Macaca mulatta: one gene and its partners. The protein of the gene in region 2 purifies or fractionates together with the protein of the main gene of each other region. This does not show direct contact. Links are inferred from orthologs where the notes say so. Each region holds a gene or a part of one and is shown on either strand. Other genes may lie near its edges. The genes, in order: FKBP5, KSR2, CDC37 and MAP2K2.

What was found.
Region 1: the proteins of KSR2 (region 2) and FKBP5 purify together in Homo sapiens (affinity purification with mass spectrometry; 3 studies listed by BioGRID and IntAct, with this or other methods). This does not show direct contact. The link is inferred for Macaca mulatta from reciprocal best matches to the Homo sapiens genes KSR2 and FKBP5.
Region 3: the proteins of KSR2 (region 2) and CDC37 purify together in Homo sapiens (affinity purification with mass spectrometry; 3 studies listed by BioGRID and IntAct, with this or other methods). This does not show direct contact. The link is inferred for Macaca mulatta from reciprocal best matches to the Homo sapiens genes KSR2 and CDC37.
Region 4: the proteins of KSR2 (region 2) and MAP2K2 purify together in Homo sapiens (affinity purification with mass spectrometry; 3 studies listed by BioGRID and IntAct, with this or other methods). This does not show direct contact. The link is inferred for Macaca mulatta from reciprocal best matches to the Homo sapiens genes KSR2 and MAP2K2.

The regions. Positions count from the first base shown.
Region 1 is NC_133409.1:146,535,760-146,541,348, forward strand, and holds the start of FKBP5 (peptidyl-prolyl cis-trans isomerase FKBP5), read left to right. Parts: upstream 1-2,321; 5' UTR 2,322-2,391; intron 2,392-5,589. UniProt on the Homo sapiens protein: Immunophilin protein with PPIase and co-chaperone activities. Component of unligated steroid receptors heterocomplexes through interaction with heat-shock protein 90 (HSP90).
Region 2 is NC_133416.1:125,025,192-125,030,188, reverse strand, and holds part of KSR2 (kinase suppressor of Ras 2), read left to right. Parts: intron 1-2,486; coding exon 2,487-3,000; intron 3,001-4,997. UniProt on the Homo sapiens protein: Location-regulated scaffold connecting MEK to RAF. Has very low protein kinase activity and can phosphorylate MAP2K1 at several Ser and Thr residues with very low efficiency (in vitro).
Region 3 is NC_133424.1:11,119,316-11,123,358, reverse strand, and holds the end of CDC37 (hsp90 co-chaperone Cdc37), read left to right. Parts: intron 1-212; coding exon 213-395; intron 396-495; coding exon 496-567; intron 568-2,252; coding exon 2,253-2,408; 3' UTR 2,409-2,826; downstream 2,827-4,043. UniProt on the Homo sapiens protein: Co-chaperone that binds to numerous kinases and promotes their interaction with the Hsp90 complex, resulting in stabilization and promotion of their activity. Inhibits HSP90AA1 ATPase activity.
Region 4 is NC_133424.1:4,939,120-4,944,116, forward strand, and holds part of MAP2K2 (dual specificity mitogen-activated protein kinase kinase 2), read right to left. Parts: exon of another isoform or gene 4,389-4,997; intron 4,086-4,388; coding exon 3,875-4,085; intron 1-3,874. UniProt on the Homo sapiens protein: Catalyzes the concomitant phosphorylation of a threonine and a tyrosine residue in a Thr-Glu-Tyr sequence located in MAP kinases. Activates the ERK1 and ERK2 MAP kinases.

The DNA of each region.
Region 1 (5,589 bases), on a different chromosome or scaffold from region 2:
ATCCAGAAATCTGGAACCACTGGTTAAAGAGAAGTCTGACAGCCAAAATACACACAGCCAGCTGTGAGTTACTTACCTGCCTTACCCAGGAAAAGGACATGGGCTGCTCAAGCACACACCTCTTTGCCATCTATGCCAGCATTTTTACCTTCAAGGCCGATGTTCTCATCATGTTAAGTACATTTGAGTTTAGTAAATAAGTACGGGTTCTAGCCAGGGTTCAAAACCAGTTCAGGGCAGGGCGCGGTGGCTCAAGCCTGTAATCCCAGCACTTTGGGAGTCGGAGACAGGCAGATCACAAGGTCAGAGTGGCCAGCCTGGCCAACATGGGGAAACCGCGTCTCTACTAAAAAATACAAAAATTAGCTGGTGATGTGTACCTGTAATCCCAGCTACTCAGGAGGCTGAGGCAGAACTGCTTGAACCCACGAGGCGGAGGTTGCAGTGAATCGAGATCGCACCACTGCACTCCATCCTGGCAACAGAGGGAGACTCCGTCTCAAAACCAGTTTAGTCACGGATTTAGCTTTGTGGTCTCCTTGTGCCTCATTTTCCCCACCTGTAAAATAGAAACAATAAGACTTACTTCATGGGATTGCGAGGATTAAGTAAAGCACTTGGAACAGTGCCCAGCACACAGAGCTCAACAAATGTTGACTATAATCCTAATTATCTCCGCAGGTTTCACCTGGACAACATGTGGGGTGTGGGCAGGCAGTGAGAACACAGACGGTAGCCCTCAATGCATCCCAGCCTGAAAAGCACATGAGTCAGCCCTTCCTTCCACTTACCCACTACCTCTCACGCTAGTCGTTGTCTTTTTTTTTTTTTTGATACGAGTCTGGCTCTGTCTCCCAGGTTGCAGTGCAGTGGCGCCATCTCGGCTCACTGCAAACTCGGCCTCCCAGGTTCGAGCAATTCTTGTGCCTCAGCTTGCCGAGTAGCTGGAACTACAGGCGTGCACCACCGCGCCTGGTTAATTTTTGTATTTTTAGTGGATTGGATTTCACCATTTCGGCCAGGCTGGTCCCGAACTCCTGCTCTCAGGTGATCTGCCTGCCTCGGCCTCTCAAAGTGCTGGGATTACAGGCATAAACCACCACACCAGACCTCCCTGGTCTTCTTAAAGTGAATCAATCCGAATTCCTGTAATCCATGTAACTGCTTTGAGTGACTCTGGAACCCTCTTTGAAGCCCCCACAAATACCTAAAAGAGGAGCAGGAGCGCTACAACACATTCCCCTAAACTGTGTTTCTAAGAACCATCCAACTACCTGTGGAACCCTAAGGCCCCTTCCTCATCTCTTTACCAATATCCTGGCAATGGTTGTTTGAGCCTAGTTAATGACAGAAGCTCCAGCCAGATGCTGTTGGGGGTCCTCTACGAAAAGACACCGCCATTCCCGAGGGTGATACTGCAGCGGCCCAGTACTTGTGCGCATAGAAGCTAAGGGGAAATTGCCCTACCCTAAACTCCAGTGAAAAGCCCTTTGCAGTCCGACAGGCTTGCATTCACATCCCAGCAGTGTGGGGTTTGGACAAATTCCATAATCTGAGTCTGTTTCCTCTTCTAGAACGCGAGTCTATGAATTCCTGTCTACTGCCTGGAAGTGCCGCTGTCAGGACTGACTAAGATAATGTGTGTACTTTCGGTGCACAGGGGACGCTCAACACGTGCGAGCTTCCCTTGCAGAAAACCAAGAGATGAAAGGCTGGGGGCCGCCCCTGCCTTGACGTGCATCCCATACTCTCCGAGATCATCTCTCCCCAGCTAGCGCTTACTCCTGCCCAGGAACCAGATCCTGGGGCCTCCGGGTAGCTCCGGCTAAGGCGCGGGAAGCAGAGGGGGCCAGCGCCCCCAGAGGAGGAGGTTGGGGGGGAAGGAGGCCGCGCCTTTCCCCGCCCCGGGCCTCCCCCCGTCTTGCTCTCCCTCCCCGGACTACCTCCTCCCCCCGCGCGCATCCGGCGACGGGCACAGGATGTTCTTTCGCTCCCGTCCCCGCTCCGCCCCCGCTCTCACTTTCTCTTCGCTCCCCTCCCCCACTCGCGCCGCGCCCGGCGCCGGCACCTAATTTAACTCTTTCTCTCCCGCGCTCGTTGGCGCCTGTGCGCCTCCTGGGCGGGGGTCCCATCCTTCCCGCCCGCCCCCCAGGACGTGGAGCGAGGGGGCTGACCGGGAAGGGGCGGGCCTGAGCTGAGCGCTGGGCCCAGGTTCTCAGGATCCTTTAGCCCGCAGCTGGTGGAGAGGGCTCACCGGGATCCGGCACTCTAGAACCCCCGCTAGTTCACCCGGGTAAGGGTGGGGGTGGAGATGGGTACCCACACTCGAGACAGCTGCGCGCCCAAGAAAGGCGGCCAGGCGGGCTTAGATGCTGGCCCGGCGGGGGGCGAGTAGGGTCAAGGGCCACCAACCTCATCCTCCCCCCAGGTTCGGATGCGGAGGGGCCCAGGGCACCAGCAGAGGATGGAGAGAGGCCACGCCCCTCGGCGACGTCACTGATGTCAAGGCAACCGGGGGCGGGACGGTGGGCTACTGAAGGGCAGACCTCAGGGAATTGAGGCTGCCGGTGGCTCTGGGACGGGGTGGGGGTGGGGGTGGGGGCGCAGCAGGGGCGGGCTTTTCAATTTGCTTCAGTCAATGATGTCCAAAAAACGGAGTGAGGGTCAGCTTCTGTTCGCTCTTTGATTCAACAGGCATTTATTGAGCGTTATGCTTGGGGCTGTGCTTAGGCACTGGGATATTGCGTGCCATCCGAACCCTGCCAGTTGTTGTGAACTACGGTAGGGTGGCTCTGCGTCCCTGGAACGGACGTAATTATTAACAGTGCCCCTTTTCAAGTTTAAAGTGTCCCAGTATGGGCAGTAGTTAAGGAACACCTTTCTCCCAATTCAGAAAAGGCTCCAACCATACGGGGAAGGAATATAAACTATTGGGTACAACAGGCACTTTCCTGGTGCTTTGTATTCTCTGTAATTTTTGCCCCTCATTCTGCAAAACGAGTGTCACTAGCGGCTTTTACAGACGAAGAAACTGGCTCAGAGAGGTTAAGAGACTTACCCAGGGCCAAACAGCTAAGTGTTGGAACCAGGATCCAGACCCAAGTTTTATGTGCCCTCCAAAGTATTTCGTGCCTGCTTCTCAAAATAAGTAGATGATGTCAAATAAATAAAAGACACTGTCCCTGCCATTAAAAAGCCTACAGCCTATGGGAGAAGAGGTTTAAAATACTGCAGGACATAACTAAGCAATAAAACATAAAAAAGATTAGGTGGGGCACGGTAGCTCACTCCTGTAATCCCAGCACTTTGGGAGGCTGAGGCGGGTGGATCACCTGAGGTCAGGAGTTTGAGACCAGCCTGACCAATATGGTGAAACCCCGTCTCTACTAAAAATGCAAATATTAGCTGGGCGTGGTGGTGTTCAACTGAAGTCCCAGCTACTCGGGAGGCTCAGATAGGAGAATTGCTTGAACTGGGGAGGCAGAGGTTGCAATGAGCCGAGATCGCCCCACTGCACTCCACCCTGGGCGACAGAGCAAGACTCAATCTCAAAAAAAGAAAAAAAAAGGAAAAGATTAAAGGCAGCTCACAGGCTCAGAGGGAAGCCACTAGTTATGCCACTCTCCTTTCCACATTCTGCCCTCCTCTGTGGTTTTGTCTCTTACTGAACAGGGACTCCTAGCAGGCATCTGCCCTCATTCTGCTCTGCACCCAAGGTTTTGCAGTTGGTATTTGCCACAACCTTCCTGATATTAACTTGGATGTCGGCCTCTCCCTTCCCCACCAGCTCCCCACCTCCAGCCACCTAAGATTTTGGGGAAATGAAAAACAGTGGCCCTTCAAAACAAAAGGGCCCCAGTGAGCATTGGGAAGCCAATAGGCTTGATGGGACTGGGGAGACCAAGGCAGGAGAGAGAATTGGAACGGTGGAAAGGGAACACCACCAAATGGATGGGTCACTTGAGGAACATTTGCTGCCCTCCTGCTGTGCAGGAGGCACTGCACTCAACCCTGTGGCCTGGACATGCCATGAGTGAATTCAGGTCCCATCTCACAGAGAATACACAGCTTAGCTAGTGTACTCACTGTGCTTGGTTGAGGAGTCTGAAGTTGATAACATACACAATAAATGATGTTTGAGAAAGATTATTCCAGCAGGGTGTGTAGGAGGAAGGAAAAAGAAAGGACAGTGTAGCAGCTGCTGTGAGAATTTGGGCCAAAGGTGGAATCTATGGGGCTGGAGGGGAAAGGGTGAAGGAGAAAAGTAATGAACAAACAATATATTTTGAAATAAAAGCAACAAAGGGAAGAATTTGATAAGATATCAGACATAAGGATGATGAAGGAGAGAAAGTAGTTAAACATTAATCTACCTTTGCAGTGAGTTTCAGGACTGGGAGGGTCATGGTGGGCAATGGGGAGGAGCTGGTGTGAGGGACATGAATATGAGTTCAGTCACTTCTAGGCCATGTAAGGGCAGGTGTCCCGTAGGTGACTGGACTTGGAGATAGGGAAGTCCAGAAGAGCAGTGGGCTGCTGTCTGAGAGTGTCCCTGTCATAGCCTCGAGCAATCACTGACCTGGGATCACGGACAGATTTCAAGCATCAGGAAGAAGGTGGGAGTAGATGGCAGTGAAGGTGCCTCCCAACTGGGAGATGCAGTGTGCATTGGCTGGGTGAGAGCCTGTGTGGGAAGTGTGATGTATGTATGGGAAGGGGGTCCACGGCTCAGGCCTGTGTTGGCATCTTTAGCCACAGAGGGTGCCAGAGATGCCATCAGATGGCAGGAGGCCCAGGTAAGGCACTTCAGCAGCCTGAGGTCCCTCCCCTAGGCCCACCCTCAAAGGCCCTGGAGCCCAGGCCTATGCTGCCTGCCAGGGCCTTTCCCGGAACCACTCCTCCCCGCCTGCCCTGGCACTCTCCAGGCACAAAGCATCCCTCAGGGCACTGCGCAGCACCCCAGGAAGCTGGGACGTGGGGCAGGTCCCCATCCCCAGGAAGAGCCCTGCTCTGGGCTGCTGTCATCATCACAATGGCCCCACAAGATGCCAGGACACAGCATAGGGACAGCATAAGTCCCCAGTGGGGACCCCAAATGGGACCCCATTTCCCCTGCATAGAGGTGGAAGGAGGAGGTTTGTGGCTAGGTGGCAGGATTCCTGGGTCTTTATTGTGGTTTGGGGGTGGGGGCAGAAAAGCAGGGTCTCAGGCTTCAAAACACCACACCACCTGCCTGTTCCTCCCTCCGAGGAGGAAATCTTCAGGGGCCTTGTGGTTTTGAGGGGAGGGGGCAGGAAGAGACTCTGAACTCTGGGTCAGCTGAGGACAGAGATAGGGGAGATCCTCTTGCCCTATGTCCCACTTTTCTTCTAGGATCCTCTTCCTCGGCTCCCTACTCCGCCACTACCCCAGAACAAACTCCTACCTCTGTTTGCAACTAAGAGTTACATCCCCCATGCCAAGACCTTCCGAGGCGTCCCAGAGGGGTGAGGTTTGGGGAAAACAGAACATGTACACAGCAGCTGTGTGCCTGGCCACACCTGTCGGGTGGGGTGAGGAGAGTGCTCCTCCCAGGTGGGCAGAGCCTGC
Region 2 (4,997 bases):
CCTTTTGGAGGCTCTGGCCTCCCAAAGCGCTGGGATTACAGGCAAGAGCCACCACCATGGGCCTAGTTTTTTTTTTTTTTAAATTTTAAGTTCTAGGGTACATGTGCATAACGTGCAGGTTTGATACATAGGTAAACTTGTGCCATGTTGGTTTGCTGCACCCGTCAACTCATCATTTACATTAGGTATTTCTCCTAATGCTATCCCTCCCGTAGTCCCCCACTCCCCCTGCAGGACCCTGTGTGTGATGTCCCCTACCCTGTGTCCAAATGATCTCATTGTTCAATTCCCACCTATGAGTGAGAGAACATGTGGTGTTTGGTTTTCTGTCCTTGTGATAGTTTGCTGAGAATGATAGTTTCCAGCTTCATCCATGTCCCTACAAATGACTTGAATTCATCCTTTTTTATGGCTGCATAGTATTCCATGGTGTCTATGTGCACCACGGGCCTACTTTTATGTACTCTGATCATCTGTGTAGGTTTGTATATCTACCACAGTCAAGATGCTGGAGAGTTCCAGCACTCCAAGGCTCCCTTGTATTGCTCTTCTATCCCCGCATCCATTTTTCTCCTACCCACTTTTCTGCCATCCCTAACCCCTGGCAGCCATCAGTCTATCCTCTGTTTCAAAAATGTTGTCATTTCAAAAATACTATATAAATGGAGTCATATAGTATGTAACCTTTGGGGATTGGCATTTTTTTTACTCAGCCTAATTCTCTGGACATTCGCCCAGGCTTTTGTGTGCATTGGCACTTGGTGCCTTCTCCTGGCTGAGCTGTGTAGCATGTGGTTTGTATGTAGCACTCTATGGTTAACCATTCTGTTACCCATATTCTTTGTTTTTTTAGAGCGAGCCTGTAGCCTGGGCTGGAGTGCAGTGATGCAATCTTGGCTCACTGTAATCTCTGCCTCCTGGGTTGAAGCAATTCTCCTGTCTCAGCCTCCCCAGTAACTGGGATTACAGGTGCGTGCCACTATGCCTGGCTAATTTTTTGCATTTTTAGTAGAGATGGGGTTTCACCATGTTGGCCAGGCTGGTCTTGAACTCCTGACCTCAAGCGATCTACCCACTTTGGCCTCCCAAATTACTGGAACTACAGGTGTGAGCCTCCGTGCACAGCCACCCATATTGCTTTTATCACATCATTCTGTTTATTTCCCTCCCAGCACCAATAACACAAGTCTGGAACACAAGTCTGTTCCCGGCTTCCCTGACCTGGGCAGCTCGTGAGACCACGGGGCAGCCCCTCGCAGTCCGGGACTTGACAGCCCCAGGGCACCCACCGACCGCACTCACTTGGGCGTGTGGGCCTCGTCCACGCAGTGCCCCAGCTGGAACTTGTGGGATTTGCTCCGATGCAGCGCGGTGAACCCTGGGATCAAGTGTATCAGCTTTCGGGAGGAGGGTGAAATCCTTCAGTGAGCATGTTTTCTTGTCTATCATGACTCTGCTTTGGCAGAATGTAAGTCCAGGGACCAGGGTCTCTTCTGTGTTACTTTTGTGTCTTTTCCAAGCAAAGGGCATAGTTGGCACTCACAGGATGTTTACTGGACAAATGCATGAATGAGAACATGGTGACATAGATCTGGAAGAAGTATGCGGTGGCCGAGGAAGTGGTCAGGGAGAAGGATGAACTTGACTTCCTTGGAATCTGTGTATCTCATGTGAGGGTTAGGTATTAAAATGTCCATGTAAGGGAAAAGTTATCCTTTAAAATCCTTTAAATCACTTTGAAACTGCCGGAACTGGAACCTTGGGAAGCTCAAAAGGCGAGAATTAACTTCTTTGCTTTTCTGAGCATTTGGGCTGTGGGGTCTTTCCAGCTATGGGGCAGTGGAAGACAAGGCTGTTGAATGGGGAATAGGGTAACAGGGTCAACAAAGGGATTTCATTCTCTTTTTGGAGAGGCCAAGTAGGGGTGGTTGGATTTATGTAAATGTGCTTATGATCTAATGTGAGTATGATGTAACGTGCATTTGATAGAATGTCTATAAGAGGTAATGGGCATATGAAATAGCATGCATATGATGTAATGTACATATAATGTGACATGCATATGATGTAATGTGCATATGATATAATGTACATATAACATGCATACAATGTAACAGATATATAGTGTAACATGCATGTGATTTAATGTGCATATGATATAATGAGCGTATGTTATACATACGATGTAACAGTTATATAGCGTAACATGCATATGATGTAATGGGCACATGGTGTAATGTGCACATGAAATAACATGCATAGGATGTAACAGGTATATAGTGTAACATGCATATGATGTAATGGGCACGTGGTGTAATGTGCACATGAAATAACATGCATAGGATGTAACAGGTATATAGTGTAACATGCGTATGATGTAATGGGCATGTGGTGTAATGTGTGTATGATGTAATGGTGTATGTGGTATAACTCATCTGGCTTTCTCATGGCTTACCCATTGTCTCTGCTCTTCTGTTCCAACTTAGGAGGCAACCTTTCCAAACAAGACTGGACCATCCAGTGGCCCACGACAGAAACGGGGAAGGAGAACAATCCCGTGTGCCCCCCGGAGCCCACCCCGTGGATCCGCACCCATCTCTCCCAGAGCCCCAGGGTCCAGTCCAAGTGCGTCCAGCACTATTGTCACACCAGCCCCACTCCCGGGGCCCCTGTGTACACTCACGTGGACAGGCTTACCGTGGACCCCTACCCGGGCTTGTGCCCGCCCCCGCCCCTGGAGTCGGGCCACCGTTCCTTGCCCCCATCGCCCCGGCAGCGGCACGCGGTCCGCACCCCGCCGCGCACCCCCAACATCGTCACCACCGTGACCCCGCCGGGCACGCCGCCCATGAGGAAGAAGAACAAGCTGAAGCCCCCGGGGACCCCACCACCCTCCTCCCGAAAGCTGATACACTTGATCCCGGGGTTCACCGCGCTGCATCGGAGCAAATCCCACGAGTTCCAGCTGGGGCACCGCGTGGACGAGGCCCACACGCCCAAGTGAGTGCGGTCGGTGGGTGCCCTGGGGCTGTCGAGTCCCGGACTGCGAGGGGCTGCCCCGTGGTCTCAGGAGCTGCCCAGGTCAGGGAAACCGGGAACAGACTTGTGTTCCAGACTCTGGCTGAATGAAAAATGGCTTTTCACAGAGGGTTCTGAGAAAATGAATAGAACAGACTTTCTCAGAATAGGCCATTTAAAAAATACGATTAATATCCTATAGCCTAGGGGCTAAATCTGATAGCTGGCCTGATTTTGTAAATAAAAGGTATTGGAACATACCCATGATCATTCCTTTATGTGTTGCCTATGGCTGCTTTTGTCTGACAATGGCAGAGTGAGAATGGCCCACAAAGCTGAAAATATTTACCATCTGGCTTTTTACTGAAAACGTTTGCCAACCCCTGCAGAGTCTAGCCTAGTGCCGCTCCTAGAAATAGGATATGAGGCATATATTAACCTTCAACTTTCTAGTAGTCACATTAAAAAGAATGAAAAGGAACAAGTGATATTAATTATCATAATACGTCATTCAACCTAATATATCAAAATGATAATATTTTAACATAGAATGAATGTAAAATATCATTACTGAGATATTTTGCATTTTTTAAAATACAAAGTCTTTGATATTGAATGTGTATTTTATATCCACGGCTCATTTCAGTTGAAGGTGGTAGGAAGCAGGACACATTGAGGAAATTGACAGAGGACCCCTTTGAGGGAGAGAGCAGGTGTGTGATGTAGGGTGACACTTGAGGATTGGGCAGGTTGCTGTGCTATTCACAGTAGCCAAAAAGTAGAAACAACCTGTGTCCATCAGTAGACAAATGAGTAAACACAATGTGGTCTATCCATACAATGCAATATGATTTAGCCTTAAAAAGGAAGAAACTTATTTTTTTTGAGACAGAGTCTCGCTCTGTTGCCCAGGCTGGAGTGCAGTGGTGCGATGTCAGCTCACTGCAACCTCTGCCTCCCAGGTTCAAGTGATTCTCCTGCCTCAGCCTCCCGAGTAGCTGGGACTAGAAGCCTGCGCCACCATGCCTGGCTAATTTTTTGTATTTTTAGTAGAGACAGGGTTTCACCATGTTGGCCAGGCTGGTTTCAAACTCCTGACCTCAAATGATCTGCCCGACTTGGCCTCCCAAAGTGCTGGGATTACAGGCATGAGCCACCACGCCCGACGTGGGAGGAACTTCTGATATATGCTACAACATGGGTGAACCTTGAAGACAGCATGCTAAGTAAAATGTGCCAGACACATAAGGACAAATACTGCATAATTCCACCAATATGAGATACCTAGAGTAGACAGATTCAAAGAGGCAGAAAGTAGAACAGTGGATGCCAGGGCTGAGGGGAGGGAGAATGGGGAGTTATTATTTATTGGGTATAGACTTTGCATTTGGGATGATGTAAACATTCTGGAGATGGATGGTGGTGATGGTTGTACAACAATGCAAATGTAATTAATACCACTGATCTCTACACTTCAAAGCAGTTAAGATGGTAAATTTTATGTTATGTGTATTTTATCACCATTAAAAAAAGGCAGGATTCTGTAAGTGAAGAGTTGGCACACTTTTTCTGTACAGGGGCAGATAGTAAATACTTTAGACTTTGCAGGCCATTTGGTCTCTATTGCAGCTACTCAACTCTATCATGTAGCACAAAACCAGCACAGACAATAGGTAAACAAATAGGCATGGCAGTGTTCCAATAAAACTTTATTTATAAAAACAGGTACCTGGCCCAATTTGGCCCATGAACTGTGGTTTACCAAGCCCTGTCTGAAGCTGTGGTGTAGAGAGTGATTCTCTTTTTTGAAGCATTGGGAATGCCCTAAAGTGATTGACGTGGAACATATGATTTTACAATAGTCATATTCAAGCTGCTGTGTGGAAACCTAGCTTGAAGACGTAGAATGCGTGTCTGAGACCTCTGAGGGTGAAGCAGAGGATAGATGCTTTTCTGATTGGAGTTGGGTTTGATTTGCA
Region 3 (4,043 bases), on a different chromosome or scaffold from region 2:
TAGAGCAGGGCTCCCAAGGAGGTGGTCTTTAGCAAATGCCAGATGAGGTCCCTGGCAGGGGAGCCCAGGCCTTGGGAAGCCCTTTATGTAAGTCAGGAACAGACTTAGGGAGCCCTGGGGCACCTCTGAGGAGCTGTGGCTGGAGGGTCCTGGGCCCCCAGTCCCTCCTGAGCACTGGGCCAAGTCTAGTGAGCACTGCCCGACCCCCATAGACAGCCGATCGCCAGTACATGGAGGGCTTCAACGACGAGCTAGAAGCCTTCAAGGAGCGTGTGCGGGGCCGTGCCAAGCTGCGCATTGAGAAGGCCATGAAGGAGTATGAGGAGGAGGAGCGCAAGAAGCGGCTTGGCCCCGGCGGCCTGGACCCTGTCGAGGTCTACGAGTCCCTCCCTGAGGTGCGGCTCCCCAGCCCAGGCGGGCGGCAGGAGGACCCTGAGCGGGACCCCCCAGGGCACAGGGACCCAGCCCCTGACCCCAGCCCTTCTATACCCCCAGGAACTCCAGAAGTGCTTCGATGTAAAGGACGTGCAGATGCTGCAAGACGCCATCAGCAAGATGGACCCCACCGTGAGTAACCCCCACGTCCCATGCCTTTCCAGCGGGCCATGTGTCTCCCCCAGCCCTGTGTCCCAAGTCTCTGAAGCCAGTTGGTGAAAGTGCCCCTCCAAGGCTTCTCCAAGGACTAAGGGGGGTCGTGTTACCTTGGCACACACCCACATTTATTGAGCACCTACTGTGTCCCAGCATCCAGCAGATAAATGCTGAGCTTTGAGCGTATGTCCCTTGTGACTGATAGTCACTGTTACTGTGACTGAGTCCAGCCTCAGTTTCCTTATGCAAACCATATTTTCTCTCAATATCAGCTCACAAAACGTGTGGGGAAAGGAGCTGAGCACACGGCAGGGGCTGGTAAATGCTGGCTGTTAATTGGATTTTGTCTGTTTTTTGTTTTTGTTTTTTTTTTTTTGAGACAGAGTCTCACTCTGTCACCCAGGCTGGAGTGCAGTGGTGCTATTTCTGCTCACTGCAAACTCCGCCTCCCGGGTTCGCACCATTCTCCTGCCTCAGCCTCCCGAGTAGCTGGGACTACAGGCACCCACCACCATGCCCGGCTAATTTTTTGTATTTTTTAGTAGAGACGGGGTTTCACTGTGTTAGCCAGGATGGTCTCAATCTCCTGACCTCGTGATCCGCCCGCCTCAGCCTCCCAGAGTGCTGGGATTACAGGCGTGAGTCACTGCACCTGGCCATCTGTTTTTTTTTTTTTGACAGACAGGGTCTTCCTCTCTCACCCAGGCTGCAGCCTCCACCTCCCAGGCTCAAGTGATCCTCCCACCTCAGCCTCCCCAAGTACCTGGGATTATAGGCTGACACCATGACATCTCACTGATTTTTTTTCTAAAAATTATGTTTTTATAAAGAAGGTCTAACTGGCTGTATTTTTGGAAGTGGCAATAGACGTTGAATCTAAGTAGGACACGATTGACCCTATTCCTACCACTTGGCTCACTGGTTGGTCACCCTGGTTTTCTCGTCTGTAAAATGGGTCTAGCTGCAGGACTGGCCATGAGTTTCTAGAAGCTTCTATGGGCATAGCCATCTAGACCAGCTTCTGCAAACCGCAGCTCCCAGACTCACTGCCTGTCTTTATAATAAAGTTTTATTGCAACAAAGAAGCCATGCTCAATTGTTTCACTGTCATCTACAACCGATCTTGCTCTGCCACAGAGTTGAGTCGTGACGGAGACCATATGGCTTGCGGAAGCAGAAATATTTAGTCAGTCCCTTTACTAAAAAAATTTGCTGGCTTTTGTTCTAGATTGCACTATCTAAATTTAAATTAAAGTTAAATAAAATTTAAAGTTCCAGCTGAGTACGGTGGCTCACGCCTGTAATCTCAGCGCTTTGGGAGGCCAAGGCAGGCGGATCACCTGAGGTCAGGAGTTTGAGACCAGCCTGGCCAACATGGCAAAACCCCATCTCTACTAAAAGTAAAAAAATCAGCCAGGCATGGTGACAGGTGTCTGTAACCCCAGCTACTTGGGAGGCTGAGGCACTTGAACCTGGGAGGTGGAGGTTGCAGTGAGCCGAGATTGCACCATTGCACTCCAGCCTGGGTGACAGAGTGAGACTCCATCTCAAATAAATTGGTTAAATATCAATAGGCAGGAAGCCAGCTTGGGGATGTGCAGGGGATAATGGGGACCCCTGGGTGGTGGCCCCACCTCATCTGCCTGCCCTTCTCCTCACAGGACGCGAAGTACCACATGCAACGCTGCATTGACTCCGGCCTCTGGGTCCCCAACTCTAAGGCCAGTGAGGCCAAGGAGGGAGAAGAGGCAGGTCCTGGGGACCCGCTGCTGGAGGCTGTTCCCAAGACGGGAGATGAGAAGGATGTCAGCGTGTGACCTGCCCCAGCTACCACCACCACCTGCTTCCAGGCCCCTATGTGCCCCTTTTCAGAAAACAGATAGATGCCATCTCGCCCGCTCCTGGCTTCCTCCACTTGCGCTGCTCGGCCCAGCCCGGGGGGCCCGCCCAGCCCTCCCTGGCCTCTCCACTGTCCCCACTCTCCAGCGCCCATTCAAGTCTCTGCTTTGAGTCAAGGGGCTTCACTGCCTGCAGCCCCCCATCAGCATTATGCCAAAGGCCCGGGGGTCCGGGGAGGGGCAGAGGTTGCCAGGCTGGTCCACCAGGTAGTAGGGGAGGGTCCTCAGCCAAGGGGCCAGCTCTGGTCACTGGGCTCTGTTTTCACTGTTCGTCTGCTGTCTGTGTCTTCTATTTGGCAAACAGCAATGATGTTCCAATAAAGAATTTCAGATGCTCTCTGGGCTGCTGGAGGGCTGTTCAGGCAGCTCATCTCTTCTAGGTGGGAGGGAAACCTGGTGGAATTATTGGGGACTGAGCCTGTGCTTCTCTGGTCCTTTGCCCACCAGCCATCGTGGGTCCTCGCCTCACACATGCTGTTCCACCACTTGGAACAGTCTTCCTCCAGAGGCCTCAAAAGCCTCTAACCTTCAGTTCTCACCTACCCACTCCCCTGTCCCTACTTGAACCTCCAGAAGCAGGGTTGCCCAAGCTGATCACCACCAGAGGGCAGTAGTGATCTGCAAACCAAGTCAACGTTCCCTAGGGTTTTGTGGATCTTGCCCACCTGCCCACAGAGCCCCGGCCTTCCAGCTTCCTTACCACCTTTTGGAGCAGCATCCTGGACTATATCTCCCCACCCTATGGCCAGCACTGGCCCCAACAGATGTGTTTTGGTTTTTTGGTGTTTTGTTTTGTTTTGTTTTTTTGAGACGGAGTCTCGCTGTGTCGCCCAGGCTGGAGTGCAGTGGCCAGATCTCAGCTCACTGCAAGCTCCGCCTCCTGGGTTCTCGCCATTCTCCTGCCTCAGCCTCCCGAGTAGCTGGGACTACAGGCGCCCACCACCTCGCCCGGCTAATTTTTTGTATTTTTTAGTAGAGACGGGGTTTCACCGTGTTAGCCAGGATGGTCTTGATCTCCTGACCTCATGATCCGCCCGTCTCGCCCTCCCAAAGTGCTGGGATTACAGGCTTGAGCCACCGCGCCCGGCCTTGGTTTTTTTTTTTTTTTTTTTTTGAGAGTCTAGCTGTCGCCGGGGCTGGAGTGCGGTGGTGGAATCTCGGATCACTGCAACCTCCGCCTCCCGGATTCAAGCGATTCTCCTGCCTCAGCCTCCTCCTGGGATTATAGGTGTCCGCCACCACGCCCGGCTAATTTTTTGTGTTTTAGTAGACACGGAGTTTCACCATGTTGGCCACGCTGGTCTTGAACTCCTGACCTCAAGTGATCCGCCCACCTTGGACTCCCACAGTGCTTGGATTACAGGTGTGAGCCACCACACCTGGTCTCCCCCCCCACCCAGATATCTTGATTCTGACCACTGCCTTTTGTCCCTGTGGCCTCCAGGTCCCCATCCCTTCTGGCTCTAATTCCTGCCCCAGCCTCCTTCCCATTCACCACTCCAAGCTAGCTCCCCAACAGGCAGCAGCCAGAGGGCATCTGTGAACATCAGGGTC
Region 4 (4,997 bases), on a different chromosome or scaffold from region 2:
GTGCTTTGGGAGGCTGAGGCGGGAGGATTGCTTCAGGCCAGGAGTTCAACACTGGGCAACATGGCAAGCCTTCCTCTCTAAAAGAGATTTTAAAATGAATACACAGGATGGGAGTGGTGGCCAGCTAGGGGACGTGCAATGGATTCCGGAGGCTATGCCCTGGCAGCCGCTCCCAAGTCCAAGAGGGTTCAAATCCAATTCGGTCACTGACCCCACTCAGCCTCGGTTTTTTTTAACTGCAAAACGGGGCTGATGCTCAATTTCAATGAGAACATGCGTCAAAGGTGTTGGCAGTGGCTTCGCTCAGGTCACCACTTGTGAGACAGCAGCTGGTACTGTGAGGTGGCCTTGGGCAGGCCGTGTGACCACCACCCTGGAAGTGAGCTACGGCGGAGTGGAGGAACTCAGAAGCAAGAACCAACCAACCCACCTCTGCTACGAGCACGGGCAACTCAAGCCCCACGTGCGTAACAAGCAGCAAGTTCTTCACCTGTCTCCCCGGCCCAGGGAATGCAGGGAATGCAGGGGTGCCGCTCCAATGGGAGGGGGTCAGAGGCCACCGTCAGGCCAAGAAGACACTCACAAGCCAGCATGACCTTAAACACTGAGACTGGGCCAGGCGCAGTGGCTCACGCCTGTAATCCCAACAATCTGGGAGGCCAAGATGGGTGGAATCCTTGAGGTCGGGAGTTCGAGACCAGCCTGGCCAACATGGTGAAACCTCGTCTCTACTAAAAATACAAAAAGTAGCTGGGCATGGTGGTGGGCACCTGTAATCCCAGCTACTCAGGAGGCTGAGGCAGGAGAATCGCTTGAACCTGTGAGGTGGAGGTTGCAGTGAGCCAAGATCACGCCACTGCACTCCAGTCTGGGTGACAGAGCGAGACTCTGTCTCAAAAAAATAAATAAATAAAAATAAAAATAAGTAAATAAATAAGATGAGATGAAAGGAGCCCTCGCAGTCCCACCTGCATAGCAGCCAGAGCTGCTGAGCCCGCGCGCTCAACGCATCCTCTCCCACCCCCGAGTCTGCAGGCGCTTAGAAGAAAACCTAATTTTGAAAGAATTATAGAAGCACAGGAAGTTGCAAAAATAGTACCGACAGTCCTGTGTGCCCTTTCCCCGCCTTCCCCAAGGTGAATGACAGCTTCATGACGGAAGGACAGAACCAAACCCCAGAGCCGACGCTGGGACGTCCCCATGCACCAGACCACAGAGCCTGCCCAGCCACGCCTGCCCTCAGGTTTAAAGGCCCCGACCTCCCTTTCCCGGCTGTGGTAAAGCTGCAGGTGAGCCCGTCTTCACCTGTGCCGGTCAGCAGGAGCAGGAGCTGCTGATGCAGCAAGCACTGGGTTCATGTCCACTGCCCAGCCCATCAAGGACCACTGGAGGCTCCCTGAGAAGCCCGAGGGTCCCTGGCACACACGGGGACTGGCACTCTGTCTCAAGGCCCTGCTGTGGCTCTGTCAACCACAAGCTTGCTTTTTTCCTCCCGGTGCTTCGGGCGGAGGCGGACCTGAGCTTTCCAAGGCTGCTCTGGTTTGGAAGAGGCTGCCTGCAGCACGGGGACAGAAATAGCAAGTCCGCGGCTGCAGACTTCAGGAGGGAGGGAGGGTGGCACTCTAGAGGCCAGAAGACAGAGCTGCAGAGCTAAATCCCCGCAGGAGCTGAGCCGCTGCTCCCGAGGAAGGCAGGGCCCCCCAGCAATGCTGCCACCTGCGCGGACCCACAGGACTGGGTGCGGTCAGGTTCCCCCAGTTTGGGGGACTACAGGATGGTGGGCTTCCAGGAAGAGGCAGCATTCTATGTCTGCAAGAACACAGGTGAGGAGCTGAACGCCCCGTCAACACTAAGTCCTCTGCTTATGTGTTTAAGAGCCGCTGTCCCCGAGTGGTCACAACCTCCCTGTATCCCCTGGGCACTCTTCTCAAACACAGAGCAGAGGCTGCATCATGGCCCAGGAGCCCGGGATGACTAAGCTCGGGGGCTGTCAGCGCCAGGGCTTGCAAATTCTCAAAGAGTGGGGTGACAGTCAGCTTTATGCGTCTCCTGGGTGAGACCACGGTGCCTCGTCGTCAAACGCCAGTCTAGAGGTTGCTGGGAAGGTACGTTTTTAAGATGTGATTAACCTTTAAATCGGCAGACTCTGAGCAAAGCAGATTACTCCTCCCAGAGTGGGTGAGTCTCAGCCAATCGGCTGAAGGCCTTCAGGGAAAAGCCTGCCCAGGCACGGTGGCTCGTGCCTGTAATCCCAGCACTTTGGGAGGCCGAGGCAAGAGGATCACTTGAGGTCAGGAGTTCGAGACCAGCCTGGCCAACACAGTGAACCCCATCTCTACTAAAAAAACAAAAATTAACTGGGTGTGGTGGTGCACACCTGTGATCCCAGCTACTCAGGAGGCTGAGGCAGGAGAATCCCTTGAACCCAGGAGGTGGAGGTTGCAGTAAGCCAAGAAAAAAAAAAAAAAAAAAAAAAGAAGAATATAGGTCAAGCACAGTGGCTCATGCCTGTAATCCCAGCACTTTGGGAGGCCGAGGCGGGTGGATCGCCTGAGCTCAGGCCTGGTGTTCTCTTTAGTCCTGGCTACTTGGCAGGCTGAGGCAGGAGGATCACTTGAGCCCAGGAGTCTAAGACCAGCTTGGGCAACATAGTGAGACTCTGTCTCTACAAAACAAACAAACAATTAGCCGGGCGTGCACCTGTGGCCCCAGCTACTCTCAGGATGCTGAGGTGGGAGGATCGCTTGAGCCTAGGAGGCGGAGTCTGCAGTCAGCTATGATCGCACCACTGCACTCTAGCCTGGGCGACAGAGGGAGACCCTGTCTTGGGGAAAAAAGAGAAAAAAAAAACAACCAAAAAAAACACGCCCAAGGCCCCCGAAGAGGAGGGCCTGGATCTCAGCCGCAGCGTCAGCTGTTCCGTGGGGCTCTGGTCAGTCCTGCAGATTTCAGACCCACCAGCCCAGGGACTGTGTGAGCCAATTCCTTAGAATAAATCTCTCTCTACACATACAGTCAAGTATCGTTAAGGACGGGGATACACTGAGAAATCCCTCCCTGGGCGAGGTCGTCGCTGTGTGAACACCGGAAAGCCCATTCTACACCCAGGCTCTTGTACTCTGTACGGTGCGGTGCTGATAAGCATCTGTTTATCTAAATATAGAGAACCGAGGTGGGCGGATCACCTGGGGTCAGGAGTTCCAGACCAGCCTGGCCAACATGGCGACACTCCGCCTCCACTAAAAACACAAAAAAGTTAGCTGGGCACGGTGGTGTCCGCCTGTCATCCCAGCTACTTGGGAGGCTGAGGCAAGAGAATCCTTGAACCCAGGAGGTGGAGATTGCAGTGAGCCAAGATCGTGCCACTGCACTCCAGCCTGGATAGCAGAGAGACTCTGTCTCAAAAATAAATAAATAAATAAAAATAAACATACAGAAGGCAAAGACATGGCCCGATCATCTTACGTCACCACCGCTGCATAGGCGGTCTGTCATTGGCTGAGCCATCGCCATGAGGTGCGTGGCTGTACACACAGGCGCGAACGCACACACGCTTCATCGCTTGTTTCTCTGGAGAACCGTAACACATTCACATTCCTGAAATTCACACTTGTTAGCTTTCTGCGAATGTGGATTTCAAGTGCCCTCCAGGGCAGAAGGTAGCCACCGGAGGGCACAGCTGTGTGTGGCTGGCACCGTTCCCATCTGCCCAGAAGCTGGGCCCTTTCTCAGTACCTAGAGTCCCTGGTGGGGATGAGGAATGGAGCCTGGAGCTAATCAGAATGCAGAGACCCGGCTGCCTTCCCAACCTCCCTCCTGTTTCCAGGGGGAACCTTCCCCACCACTCCCCAACCTCCGACCCCGCAGCGCTCACCTTCCTGGCCATGATGAGGCCCGAGGGTCTGTGCTGGACTTTGGTGACCACCCCGCCGTTGCCCGCGCCCAGCTCTGAGATCCTTTCGAAGTCATCGTCTTTGAGTTCGCCGACCTTGGCTTTCTGGGTGAGAAAGGCTTCCAGACGCTTCTTCTGCTGCTCGTCAAGTTCCAGCTCCTCCAGCTTCTTCTGCAGGTCCACCAGGTTTGCCCTGCAGAGACCCCCAGGGCAGGGGTTAGCTACCTAGGGAGAGTCTACCTTTCCACCTGGCCGTTTACCGCGTGGCCGTGGCGCGCCGGCCCCCAGAAGGACACAGACTGGATTCCTGCACTTCAGGGGTTTGTGGTGTAGAAGGAAAGAAGGATCCATGCTGTGTACACTCAGCAGACACACCAATGACCAGAATCCAGGGCCGCTCCCCGGGAACTGAGGATGCTGCCTTGATCCCGTCTCAGCAAGTCTAGCAGACCTCAGGATCTCGAGGATAAGCCGCAGCTCAAAGGCCTCCATCTGCTTTTTCTTTTTCTTTTTTTGTGAGACAGAGTTTCCCTCTGTTGCTCAGACTGGAATGCAATGGTGCGATCTCGGCTCCCTGCAACCTCCGCCTCCCGGGTTTGAGAGATTCTCCTGCCTCAGTCTCCCAAGTAGCTGAGATTACAGGCGCCCGCCACCATGCCTGGCTAATTTTGTATTTTCAGTAGAGACGGGGTTTCACCATGTTGGTCAGGCTGGTCTCCAACTCCTGACATTAAGTGATCTGCCCGCCTCAGCCTCTCAAAGTGCTGGGATTACAGGCGTGAGCCACCACACCCAGCTGGGAGGCCTCCTTCCTAGGGCACAAGCTCCGGACCATGTCGGGAGGACACGAGGGAGGGATCAGGTGAACGGAGCCCAGGCCAGGATGCCTGTCTTTGCAGGAGATAGAGGAACAAGTGTTCTGAGCACAGTACGAGAACCGAGAGCGGAAGGCAGAAGGCTCAGTACAAAAGCTGCACCAGGCAGGCCCGGTGGTGCACGTCTGCAATCCCAGCCACTTGGGAGGCTGAGGCACGAGAACTGCTTGGACCCGGGAGGCGGAAGTTGCAGTGAACTGAGATCTTCCCACTGCACTCCAGCCTGGGTA